Caenorhabditis elegans: one gene and its partner. The protein of the gene in region 1 purifies or fractionates together with the protein of each later gene. This does not show direct contact. Each region holds a gene or a part of one and is shown on either strand. Other genes may lie near its edges.

Region 1 (5,297 bases):
AAATTCAAATTTAAAATGTTTGCTATGAATATCAAATGTATATTTTCCAATTTAAAACATTCAATTTCAAATTTTAATTCTGGCGCGAACTAAAAATTTCAAAATTTTTCAGATACAAAATATCGGTGGCCGAATATTTTCTCATTCGCGGCCACGTACCAAAAAATGTGAAAAAAAAATCTCCAAATAAATTTGTATGTGAATCGCCAAAAAAAAATTTCGACGCAGATCTCTAAAAATATTGAAATTTTTCAAATAAATTTGGTGCGAACTTTAAGAATATTGATTTTTAAAAAACCTTTGAAAAAACATTTTGGCGCGAAATTCCAATTTAAAATTTTCAAAATTTCCAAAAAATTATACAATAATGTAGTCATAGTTTCCCAATTTCCATGAATCTTTTTTTTTCCCAAAAAAAAAAGAAAAAGTTACAAATAGTTAAACCCTTAACAAACTTTACAACTAGTCATCATCAACACTCATCAACATTCCTATGTTAACCTTTTCCCTGACTGAAGAAAAAAAAATTCTTTTCCCTTAAAATTTCAACAAACACATCTTTCTCTATGCTTTTTCCATACAATTCTCATATTTGCCGACACGCCTGTTGGCATCGCTTGCGCAGCTCGCGGAGCAGCTTCAGGAGCAAACAGTCTCACACATTGGGAAGAGGAAAAGCAGACGAAGAAGAAGAAAAGAAGTCGAGATTTTAACATTTTTGTGTGTGTGTGTTTTTATAAGTGTCTCTATCTATTTTCCCACCATTCTTGAACCATGTGTCAATTTTTTTTAACGCAACATTTTAAGCTCATTTTTCGAACTTTTACAAGAAATGTATCTTATTTGAAAAAAAAAACATTTAAGTAGATAGACAGACCCCTATGAAAATTCATATCATTTTGAACTAGAAAAAATGTTGCTCCCGGGAGCAAATTTTTTTTAAGACCATTTTTTTCGATAAATTTTTTTTTCGCACTCTATATGTTTTTTCCAAGTCTAATTAATTTTTACAATTATATTTTCACCTCAATTTTGTTTCTTTTTTTTGAAAAAAAAATCGGAATTTTTTGAAATGCGAAAAATTTTCAAAAATTTTTTTTTGAAATTTTTTTTTCTGTAACTTTGATATTACCTGAATTTGCCATTTTAACTATTTTTAAAAATTTTTCAGTGCTATAACAGTGCTTTAAATTTACAGAGACTTTCACTTTTCCGAAAGTTTTAGAAAAAAAAACAATTTTTGACTGAAGATTTTTTTGAGAACTTCTGAATTTTTTTAAATTTCAGATCGGCTTTTTCGTGATAATATTTTTTCTAATATATTTTTTCAAATTTCAAAAACATTTATTGCTACGAATTAAAGTTGATTATATCATAACTTTTAAAATTGTTTTCACCTTTCTGCATTTATTTTAGTTATAAGTTTTTTTCCGTTAAAGATGTTAAAAAATTGTCAACTAACAAAATATTTACTTAATATTTTTGAACAATTTGTTAGTTTGACACTTTTTAATATCACTTATGGTTCACAAAATATGCACGTTTTTAAAAAAAGTGCAAAGGCCTGACTTTATATGTTAAAACATGCATAACTTTTTAACTATAAGTGATATCAAAAAGTTGTCAACTAACAATGTGTTTGAAAATATTTTTTAAACATTTTAATAGTTGACAACTTTTTGATATCTCACACATGAACAAAGTTATAAGCAATTGAAAGTTAGTGCAAAAGCCTGAAATCTGAACACGATCAAATCTGTGAAAAAGAGAGGGACAGGTGTTATAAAACACTGAACAACTCAAAAACTATTTGAAAAGGAAAATTTAAATTAATAATTCTAATTACAGCATTTTTTTTTAACTTTAAGAACAAAACAATTTTGATTTGAAAAAAAAAGAAAAAAACTTGGAACGTTCAGCCAAATTCCGAGCGTCATTGCATAAAAATTTAGCAAATATTTATTGAAAAATCCAAAATTTAAGTTTTTAAACAATATTTTGCTCTACTTTTCTTGTTTTTTTTTCCAAAAACTCTTCCAAAAAAAAAAGCAAATTTTCAGCCGCAATGAGGGAAGGAACTCCGCGCGTCAGAATTGAAGTGAATAAGGGGTAAGTGAGTGCTCTTGACACCTCCCAGCCTCCATTTAATCCGTCCAGTTTCTTTTCTTTTTTGCACAGTTTTTGCTCATTCCTTTTATTGCAGCAGCAATCGACCCAGTCAATTTGTTTCCGAGTCAGAAGAGCAACGGCTGCAGCGAGTACAGAGTCGAGATTCTGATACGGCTACTATGAATTTTGTAACCGATGATCGAATGATGGTTAGTTTGAATTTTTTGATTTTTGCCTGCCTGCCTGCCTGCCTGCCTGACTACCTGCCTGATAGGTCGCCTTGCAGGCAGGCCGGTAGGCAGGTTCTCAGGGCCCGAATGCTGGCGTTTATTCTACCTATTGAATTTGAGTTTATTTAACTTAAAAAGAGAAATGATATTAATAAATTAGAAATTCTTTTTGAAATTTGAAGAACAAAAGTGTACTTTGCTAGTAGGTCGCCTTGTAGGCAGGTTTCTACGAATACCTGCATATTTTTTTCAAGCCTACAAGCATGCCTACGTGCCTGCCTTTTAGGAAAAAGCATGAGGCAGGCGTAGGCCGTGTTGAAGGCATGCTTACTGTACCTTCCGATTCAAAAATATACCGGAAACCCAGTTTTCTGATTGCTTATCACATTATCATAATAATAATAATCCCATTTTCAAACAACGTGCTCAAAAATTTCCTGTTTCCTCCTGTCGAAAAAAGAAAAAAAACAATAAAACACAATTTTGTAGGAGCACCCTTTTCTCAAGAGTGGACATTGTGTTGAAATTGGATATCCGTTTTTCTTTTTTTCAATAAGTGCATATTCTTGTTCCCAACACTGTTCGTGACTCTTTTTTCTTCAAATTTTTGCATAAAAACATTTTTCGGATCGTTGTTCCGGAGTTCTTAGAGATCTTTCTTTTTTCGGCTCAGTAGACTTTGAAGCCCCGTATCTCTGAAAGTTTAAGTGCTAGAAAAAAGTTACAAACTCTAAAAATATTGAAAAAATGTGATAAATATTTTTGTGGTTGACAAATTTTTGATAACTTTAAACAGAGCTGAGATATGAGCCCTTAAAGTTAAACTTAAATATTTCCTCTGATACATTTCCCAATATTTATATCTCTACGGGACACCAATATTTGCTCAACTGCTCAAAATACAAAACACATTTTTTTGGCAAAAGAGAGTGCATAGTAAGCCAAAACAGAGCACAAAAAGATCATAAAACTTTTTTTTGGAATTTTGGCATAACTCAACTTGGACAAGGCAAAATGTAAAATGACCGCGAAAAAAGTTGATGGCCTAGTTTTTTGAGTTTCCACGGCCACGTAGCAAAGGGCCACACTTGACTGAGTGGTCACAAAAATTTCGTTTTTTAATTGGGCGGAATGGGCGGAGTGTCGTTGTTTGTGCGACCTCTGACAAACCCCAATAAAAAATTTTTTAAAGAAAACTTTTTCTTCCCGCCGAGCACATCAGAGTACTCGAAAAGATCCAGTTATATGTACGTTCTAGTACTACTTAGTAAACGAAAACTTTCTCAACTCTTTCTCTCAGAGAGAGAGATCTTGGGAAAGAAGAGATTTATGTGCACAAAGAGCATTTTGGTGGGGGCATCCACTTCACTTTTGCCCTCCCCATATCCTCGGGGCCCCCCATTTCTACCGCATTCATTTATTCCACTATTTGGCGGCTCAGGGCTGCTGGCATATACAAAAAGATTTCATCTCACCAGCCTCTCACCTCTTTTTTTTTTTGGAAGAAGACGTTGTCGGGGTCTTACACGAAAATCAGTCCCCATGAGAATTTACCCCCGGCGCCTCTTTGTTAAGACGGCTTCCATATTGGTATTAGTGTGTGGCCGTGAGATATTGATGGCTGGGAAACTCCTCACGACCGTGGCCTAGTTTGCTTTTTCTAGACCACGGAACCTTTTTTCCGAATTTTTTAGATTTTTCAGAAATTTTAAGGCTCGTTAACAAATTTCTCTAAAGGTTTTTTCCGAAATTTTCATTTATTTTTCTACATTTTTCGATTTTTTTCTAAAAATGTTTAATGTTTTTCCCGAAAACTTCCGATTTTTTTTGGAAAATTTTTTAGATTTTTTAACGAACTTTATTTTCGAAATTTTTAATGTTTCTTCTTGAAAAATTGATTTTTCTTCCACACCGCCTAATTGCAATATTAAGGGTATTAGTGACGTCATTATTTTTCTAAGCCAACTGTGACGTCGTTGTGTCGAAGGGGTTTCTAGGCCATCTGTGACGTCACTGATTTTTCAAAATAGTGCCTCACTAGTTTCTAGGCCACGAGTGGCGTAATTTCTCTTCCACATTGTCTTAGCAAACCTTCTAGGCCACGTGTGACGGCATTTCTTCCCCACTCATGACCGTTAAATTTTCTATGCCACCTATGACGTCATTTCTCTTCCACCAAATGATTTTTTGTGTTCCCTCCAAAGCAAAACCTCATAAAAAGTGGTTAGTCACCAAAAAAGAAAAGCGCAGGAAAACTTTCGACCGCTAGCCAATAGAAGAAACCAATTTCATTCGCCTTTTTTTTTGCTCGTTTCATTCGATCTTCATCTCTCTCTTTTTCTTTCCTCGCCTAACTTTGTTTTTTTTCTTCCATTTTCTTGCAAATTGAATTTACATGTATGTATGTGTACGAGATTATCGCCTAATATATGTTTTTCTCTCCTCTGAAGCTCCTCTCTTTTGTCCGCTTCTTCGTAATTTGCTAATCCTTTGGCTGGAAATAGAACAGCTGAAAATAGGATTTTTCCGAAAAAATTCGAATTTTTGTTCAAAAAACTTATGTTATTTCTTCTAAACGTCTAAAAATCCGATCTTTTTAACAAAAAATAGCCCAAAACCCCAAAAAACCGGAAAACAACGACGCTCCGATATTCCGCTTAACCACCACCACGTGTTGTTTAGAATTTCGATAGTTATCGTAATTTTCTGCAAAATGAATCAATATTTTTGTTTGGAAAATGTGATAAAACAATTTTAAATCACAAAATTAAATTTTCGCATAATTAAACTATGAAAACCGTGGGAAATCTAAACAAGACTAAACAACACGCGATGGGGGCGGAGCGGAATAGCGGAGTGTCGTTGTTTTAGTGAATTTAGGGTTTAAAATGCTGGAACCTACTTGAATACAAGATGTTTTGAATGTTTATTCAAAAAAAATTCGAGAAAAATAGTTTA
Region 2 (6,814 bases), on another chromosome or scaffold:
AAGCCAAAAACCTACAGAACCTACCCCCATTTTAAAGTATAGTTATTCCCAAAAATGATGTTTTTTTAAATTCTTTTAAATGCTTAATTATAATAGACAATCTGTTAAATCATCAATTTTTAAGAAGCGACGTAACATTTTTTTGGACTTTGGCTTTAAATGGTCATTTTGTGACTGTAAAACCCATATCGATGTTTTAAATCTTTCTGATCACAATTATAGATTTGACGTCATATTTAACGTTTTAATGTTTTGTTTTCATTTAAACTCATAACCTCTAAAGTGGTTATGACCGGGAGATTGTTTTTTTTTCTAAATTTACAAAAGATAACAGACATTATTTATAATTTGCTTAATGCACTCAATTTATCATATAGATTTAATTTCAGGGACCGGGCTCGATGCGTTCGACAACGACCAATACAAAGCGATCTACTGATTTCATTTTCCAAGAAACTTTCTAATTCTGACCGTCTTCTTCTTTCAAAAAAAAAAAACGTTGTAATGTGCAATTTTGATTTCTCTTTCTTTCATCATTATTACTAAATGTTTCCTGTATTTTTCAGATTTTTTATTGGAAAACTTTCACAATAGGTTGTTACAAAGAAGAAAACGAGTAGAAGTTCACGACAATAAAATGTGTGAAACGAAAAAAGTTTAGAAGCATATTGGGATGCAAATTCATCTTTGGACTTCTTTATTAATACAAATGTTTGTTGACTTTCTTAAGAAATAAACTCAGTAAACGAGCAAATCGGAAGACAGAGAGAAGTGTGCATAATAAGACTATCACAAGAAATAGGGTGTATTTCAAGATCGGGGTGGTTAGGAAGTGTTGAAGAAAAGAATAATGAGTTGGAAAAATAGAAAGGTGATCGGTGCTTCTGAATACTAAAAACACGTGAATTATATTCAATTTAGTTCGTGTGAAACGGATAGATCGATATCAAAAAATACGAACAACAAGCATGAGTGTCCGGTTTTTGTTGTTATGACGAAACAGCTACGGGGAGAATTGGTTTTGAATTTAATTTTGAATATTTTTGATAATTTTGTAACACTCACAACTTTTTTATTTGAAGAGAGAGGGAGGGTGGAGGGGAATGGAATTTTGAAATTTTGATGTTATTCAGAACAAAAGTTTGAAAAAAGGTGTATCTGAGATAGGAGAATGGATCATTTTGGTGTAAAATTGTTGGTAGTAGTGAGTAAAAAAAGTACGGTCTTGGTGGTTTAGGCCTTCGAGTCGAAGAATGAGTACGTCGGGTTTTCATAGCCATTGACTTGCATTCCAGCGACATGACGCTCCTCTGGTGTGTAGACGTCTACCTCGATGAAACCGCGCATGGCACGGCGACGACGAGCGTTGGTGATGGCAAAGGCGATGATGCAGATAGCGGTGATGAACATCGCCGATGCCAGGACGTATGGTTGGAAGACGCTGGACGCTGAACGCTCGACTTCTGGTGATTGGATGAGCTTGTCGTGGCGGTAGAATGAGGCTGGCTCATCGATGATCGGCTCAATGTCGACACGAAGCTCTTTGATGTTTTTCTGAAAAATGCAAACAATTAAATTAATATGAAGATTGGAAACCCTTACGTCTTCATCTTCATCAGATTCGGATGAAGTGGACGAGGAAGAGTCCTCATCATCGTCCTCATCATCAGTTTGTACTGATGTTTCCACCAATTTTGGAGCCTTCTTCTCCTCTTCTATTGTGACCTTGATCTGAAAGTTCCATAAATTACAGATAAACTTTCAGAATTTTTTCAACGCCTACCTCCTTTGGCTTGATGTCAACAACCTTGACCTTCTTCTTCATGTCAGGTGTCTTCTTAACTTGCTCATCATCTTCATCCTCGTAATATTCATCAGCTTCCTCCTCGGAGTCAGATGCTTCGGTTGGGAGAACCTTAGCATTGTCGGTTTCCTTGACTGGCTTGGCGGTGGTTGTTGGAGCCTTCACGTCAAGTTTGGCGCTGAAAAACGCTTGTAATGAATGCTATGGAAAAGCGGAGTCTTTCTTACTTTTTGCTGAACTCATCATCGTGGATGATTGGAGTGAGTTCACTGTCCTCAACTGAGATATCTGGTGACACCTCGTCTCTGTAGTCCTTCCAGTAGGTGACTGCAATTGGACGGACATATTTCTCAAGATCTGGGAAGTCGCGAAGCATCGCAAGAGTTCCGTTGATGCGAAGATCGATGTAGCTAAATAAATTTTAGTTTAATCAGGAATGTTTGATTCTATTACCGAAGCCGATGAATAACGGTTGGCTTGTATGCGGCAGCTTCCTTTGAATCGGCCTTCAGCAAGTGACGGTATCTGTTCAAAGTGTGCATGCGATCCTTCTCCTCTGCACGGATGTAAGCCTTAAGAGATTGGAGAACAGAGTGCTTGTTTGGCTTGTTGACGTGAGTAGCGAGAGCTTGACGATAATCGTGTGTAGCCTGAAAAAACACATTATTTAGTTTATGTTGTCTTACTTCGCCTAAGTTCTTACATCTCTCTTCTTCTCGTTAAGCATTGCCTGAACACGCTCCTCATGAACCGCCTCGATCTCCTTTCGCATTCTCTTGTGCTCTTCTTCGAGCGAAGAAACGGTCTTCTGGAAGCGGGCGTTCATTTGAGACTTGAACTTCTCGGCTCCCTTTGGATCCTTGGCCTTTTGCTCGTTGTATCTCGTCTCCAAATCTCCCCACTCCTTCATCACCTGAATATTCATAGTTTGTGTCATGCAATAATTTTTAATTAAAAGTCTTTTTTAACTTCAAAGAAGATTCAATTTGCGAAAGTGGTATCTAATACTAATTCCATAGTCTTCCCTTAAATCATTATCCACTTGATCTCACCTTGTCAACCTTCTTTCTGTGCTTCTCATCCATTCTCATTTCTGCCTTCTTAAAATCGTCGTGCTCGTTGGTCCAGTTGGCAATCTTGAAGTATGGATCTTGGGAACTTGGTTCCTCTTCGTCCTTCTCGTCGGCTGAAAATAAAAAATATAATCTTTAATTAGAAAAAAGAATTATCGTTTCTTACACTCTTCTGAGTAATCATCCTCATAAGCATCATCCTCATCGTCGTCGTCGTCTTCGTCTTCTTTAGTTTTTTGAACATCAGTCTTGTTCGTTTCTGCAGAGAAAAAAAATGATGAATGATCTACTTTCCGTTAATCCCTCTACTTAATGTTTTTATTTCCACCGTACTAAGTCATATCATCTTATGACACTTACAACTGACTCATCTGGAAACTGTCATGGTAACTTACGGTCATTTGGACAGCAGACGAATTCAACACCGGTGAACATGTCGAGTGCGCATGGCTCAAGAACGGCAAATGATCTGACAATCATATCCTTGTTGCCCTTGGACTTCTTGGTCTTGCACTGCTTTCCAGCTTCATCCTTCCAGTGCTGGTAGTCGTTGCATTGGTCGCGCGAGTTGACGTGCGAGAATTGACAGTCGTGCGGGACTTGAAGAGCTTCCGAGTGGAATTCTCCGTCTGTAACGGGGGGAATGAGATTAAAAATCAGTTTCTAAATATCTTTCTCAATTTCCCTTTTCACTAGATATTTAATTGACACGGAAACTCATAATTTATTTTCAGTGAGCTTTCTTAAAAGAAACGCAAAAAAGCTGACATCCAGCTTCTTGTCATAGTATTATTTGATGTATTACAACTCACCAATGCAATGGTACGGTCTGACACTGTGAGTCCACTTGCATGGCGATCCTTCCTCGCGGCACCAGTCGGAGATGCTCACTTCGTGCGAGTATTCGACGATGTTGGTGATGTTCATGGATGGATAAGCCTGAAACGAGATTTGATTCGTTACATTTCTTGTGTCCCCATTTCTTAGAAATGTGTACAACTACCAACTTGAGAAACTCATGTGTGCAATCGAGTCGCGTGTTCAACTTCACCTCCCCATGGGACTAACCGACGGGAGGTCCTTACTCAAATTTACGCCTTGTTGGGAGAGAAAAAGAAGCACGCGGGGAATGTGTATATCTTTGCTCTATGTCTGTTTTGTTTCCGGAACAATCTATGAGAAGCAGCAAAAAATCCCTGAAGGATTGGAAGTTTTGTGAAAGCCAGAGAACCATGGTTGTTTAAAGTTTAATTGTCTTCCTTGCAATGTTGGTCCTATCCCTATTTCAATTGTATTTGTGACATTTGTGACTACACGGAGCAAGACTTAGAGCATGAAAACGCCAAATTAAATGTTTGCAAAAAAGGCGTAAACTTTTATTGAAAATTGCTTGATTGTGTTCAACCCAAAACCATACAAAACAATACCTTGCGGCAGTACTTGAGGATGTCAAGTTTGCCAGAGAAGCAGGTGGCATATCGTTCATCATCAGTCTTCCATGATCCCTCTTCGGTCATATACTGGTTGCGGTATCCACATGAAAATGCGACCATTGGAATGAACTTCTCATGTCGCTTGCTGCCTGCTGGGGAACCCTGCAAAAATATTTTGCAATTGGCACTTGAGTGGGGGTGCTTGAGAGCTGTGAGATTGAGTCTTGATTGCTTTTCGACAAGTTAGGCTATTATAATATGTTCATGTAAGACTTCCAACAGTATGCAAAATATGTAATCCATTCTCTGAACATTGCCCTTTTACCCCCAGAGACCAGAAAGTCTAATAAAGTGCACTTGCATTATTCAATTTTGTTCGTTTTCGTTGCTAGGAAATAGAACATCTAGTCGAGAGTTCTAGTCATATATAATCTTAGATTAGTTCTGATTAAAGTGATTACACAATAAGCATCTTTGATCAAAATATTGAGTTCTTTAACAAAAATAACTTTGGTTTTCTAAATGCCAGTCGTATGACTGGTCGGGTGGTTTCAATCAATTTGGTGTTACGAGTCAGTGGGAATCGACCCGCGCAAACCCCTTTGCAATTAAACAAACATACCTCTGCGTAAACTGTGGCGACAAGAATCGGTATAAGTAAGCCAATCATTAGTTTACCCACCGTCATGGCTGAAAAAATGTCTGAATTAGAAAAAAATATAGGTCAATCTGTTGAAAAGAAAAGAGGGAAATGTTTTAGGAATTGAAAAAAAAAACATTGTGGAAGAGTGCAAGGATGTAATGATGATGAGTATTGTGCGTAAAGTTGAAGTGATATCGTATAGTGGAGCGACTTTTATGACCCTCCCCGTTTCAACCAAGAACTGAGAACATTTGGGTTGCATGACATGACGTTTCGGATCAGATCAGCCGCATCCAAAATTGGAATGAAGGAATTAGTAAATTGAAGAAATGGGGGGAAATGGCTGTGTAGCATCACACACACTCGGGAAAGCAGCGCCGACGACAAATCACGGTAATGATAAAAGTGAACGTGGGTAGAGGGTACAATCGATAAATTACAAAAGAAGATTGATAGAAACACGATGAAGAGATGGAGTATGACGAAATGAAAACAGACATCGCTCTCACAAGGGCAAACATACAAGTAGTTCTCTTCCACAAAACTTTTGAAGTGAAGTATGTACACATCATACTGCCAAAAATGGGTATGGAAACAAGCACAAGAATTCTGAACTTTTGAAGATTGATAGACAGATATAAGGAACCAAAGAGCTCAAACACAAGAAGGAAACGGAACCAAAAAGGAACAAGGAAGAATGTTTAATTTTTTGTCAACTTTTCAATGTTGATTCGTCGATTTTGTGGTTTTTTCTTTATCTCGTTGTGCCATGTCGAATGAAACCCTGAGGCCTCCCTCCGTCGAAATTCAGGCACCTAAAACCCAATTATCGTTCAATGTCGATGCTCCGAAGATGCCGAGATGGTTGTTGCAAGCAGACACAAAGAAGAAGAGAAAAGGAGGATGTACAAATGAAAAAGAGCATCAGCAACAGGAGCAGCACAAAAAACTAAACAAGGTTAGCTCTTCCTAAACAAGATTAGAGATGAAGAAGAGAGACTTAGAGACTTGTAGAAGAATGGATACTGTACTTGGAAACTTTTTTTTCTCCTATTTGATTTAGATTTTTATCAAAGTTCTATTCACTCTATCTGTTTTTGATTCAAGGATGGATGAAAAAAATGTGGATCGGGAAACATCGGAGAAGATTACTCAAAAACGCAGTGTCAACATTGGGAGAAGATATTTGATATTTTAAATATATTTGATGTCGGAAAACGAATGCCTTCCGCAGTTGGTTTAACTTTGCCTCTGCACACACTCTGGGTGGCGTTGATAAGGTGAGAACATTAAAGAGTGAGCTGCGGGCAGAATAAGGGAAGCTGGGCGGAGCTAGAGCAGAAATGGGGCGTTCTTGACCAGTTTGCCAAACTGCATGAGGTTTATCAAAGGATAAAGGATAAATAAGTAAATAGAAATAATAATAACATCCGATAGATCGTCTCTAAGAAGAGGAACGGGAAATTTGGAAAGAGGACGCAGAAGCACCGTTTTTGGAAACCATAGATATTGCTAATGCTCATGTGATGCACCTGACATCAAAATTGAAAACCCATTTTCAAAAAAAAAACAGGAAATATCAAAATCTATGGAAATCCGCTCCACTGTCTGAATGTTTTTCAAACGGATGTTCAAAGAGCAAAAGTAGACAGGAAGCAATATGACCTTTTTCCGCTTGACATTTACATTTTCGTGGTTTGAACTCTGTAAGATACTCGCTGAGCACTTTGTAACTTCATCTCACTACGTGGGGTTTTTAATAACTAAGTTAGTCGAAGATTTTCAAACCAGTTTTGAAAACATTTCAAAACCGCAACTTGAAGGTTGTAAAATTGCACACTTCCGAGCATTAAATGCCAGA

What was found.
Region 2: the proteins of feh-1 (region 1) and apl-1 purify together in Caenorhabditis elegans (affinity purification with western blotting, with the first as the bait; one study listed by BioGRID). This does not show direct contact.

What each region holds. Positions count from the first base shown.
Region 1 is NC_003281.10:2,547,867-2,553,163, forward strand, and holds the start of feh-1 (Protein Fe65 homolog), read left to right. Parts: upstream 1-2,053; 5' UTR 2,054-2,065; coding exon 2,066-2,109; intron 2,110-2,203; coding exon 2,204-2,318; intron 2,319-5,297. UniProt on the Caenorhabditis elegans protein: Modulates pharyngeal pumping activity, at least in part by regulating expression of the acetylcholinesterase genes ace-1 and ace-2.
Region 2 is NC_003284.9:5,111,867-5,118,680, forward strand, and holds apl-1 (Amyloid-beta-like protein), read right to left. Parts: upstream 5,001-6,814; 5' UTR 4,999-5,000; coding exon 4,933-4,998; intron 4,473-4,932; coding exon 4,305-4,472; intron 4,015-4,304; exon of another isoform or gene 3,883-4,014; intron 3,817-3,882; coding exon 3,690-3,816; intron 3,507-3,689; coding exon 3,273-3,506; intron 3,137-3,272; coding exon 3,044-3,136; intron 2,991-3,043; coding exon 2,857-2,990; intron 2,718-2,856; coding exon 2,508-2,717; intron 2,455-2,507; coding exon 2,258-2,454; intron 2,215-2,257; coding exon 2,032-2,214; intron 1,983-2,031; coding exon 1,784-1,982; intron 1,732-1,783; coding exon 1,603-1,731; intron 1,555-1,602; coding exon 1,234-1,554; 3' UTR 556-1,233; downstream 1-555. Other genes in the region: C42D8.1 (MARVEL domain-containing protein), read left to right, coding at 390-464. UniProt on the Caenorhabditis elegans protein: Required for normal developmental progression throughout all life stages. Specifically required for the molt stage during all larval transitions and morphogenesis.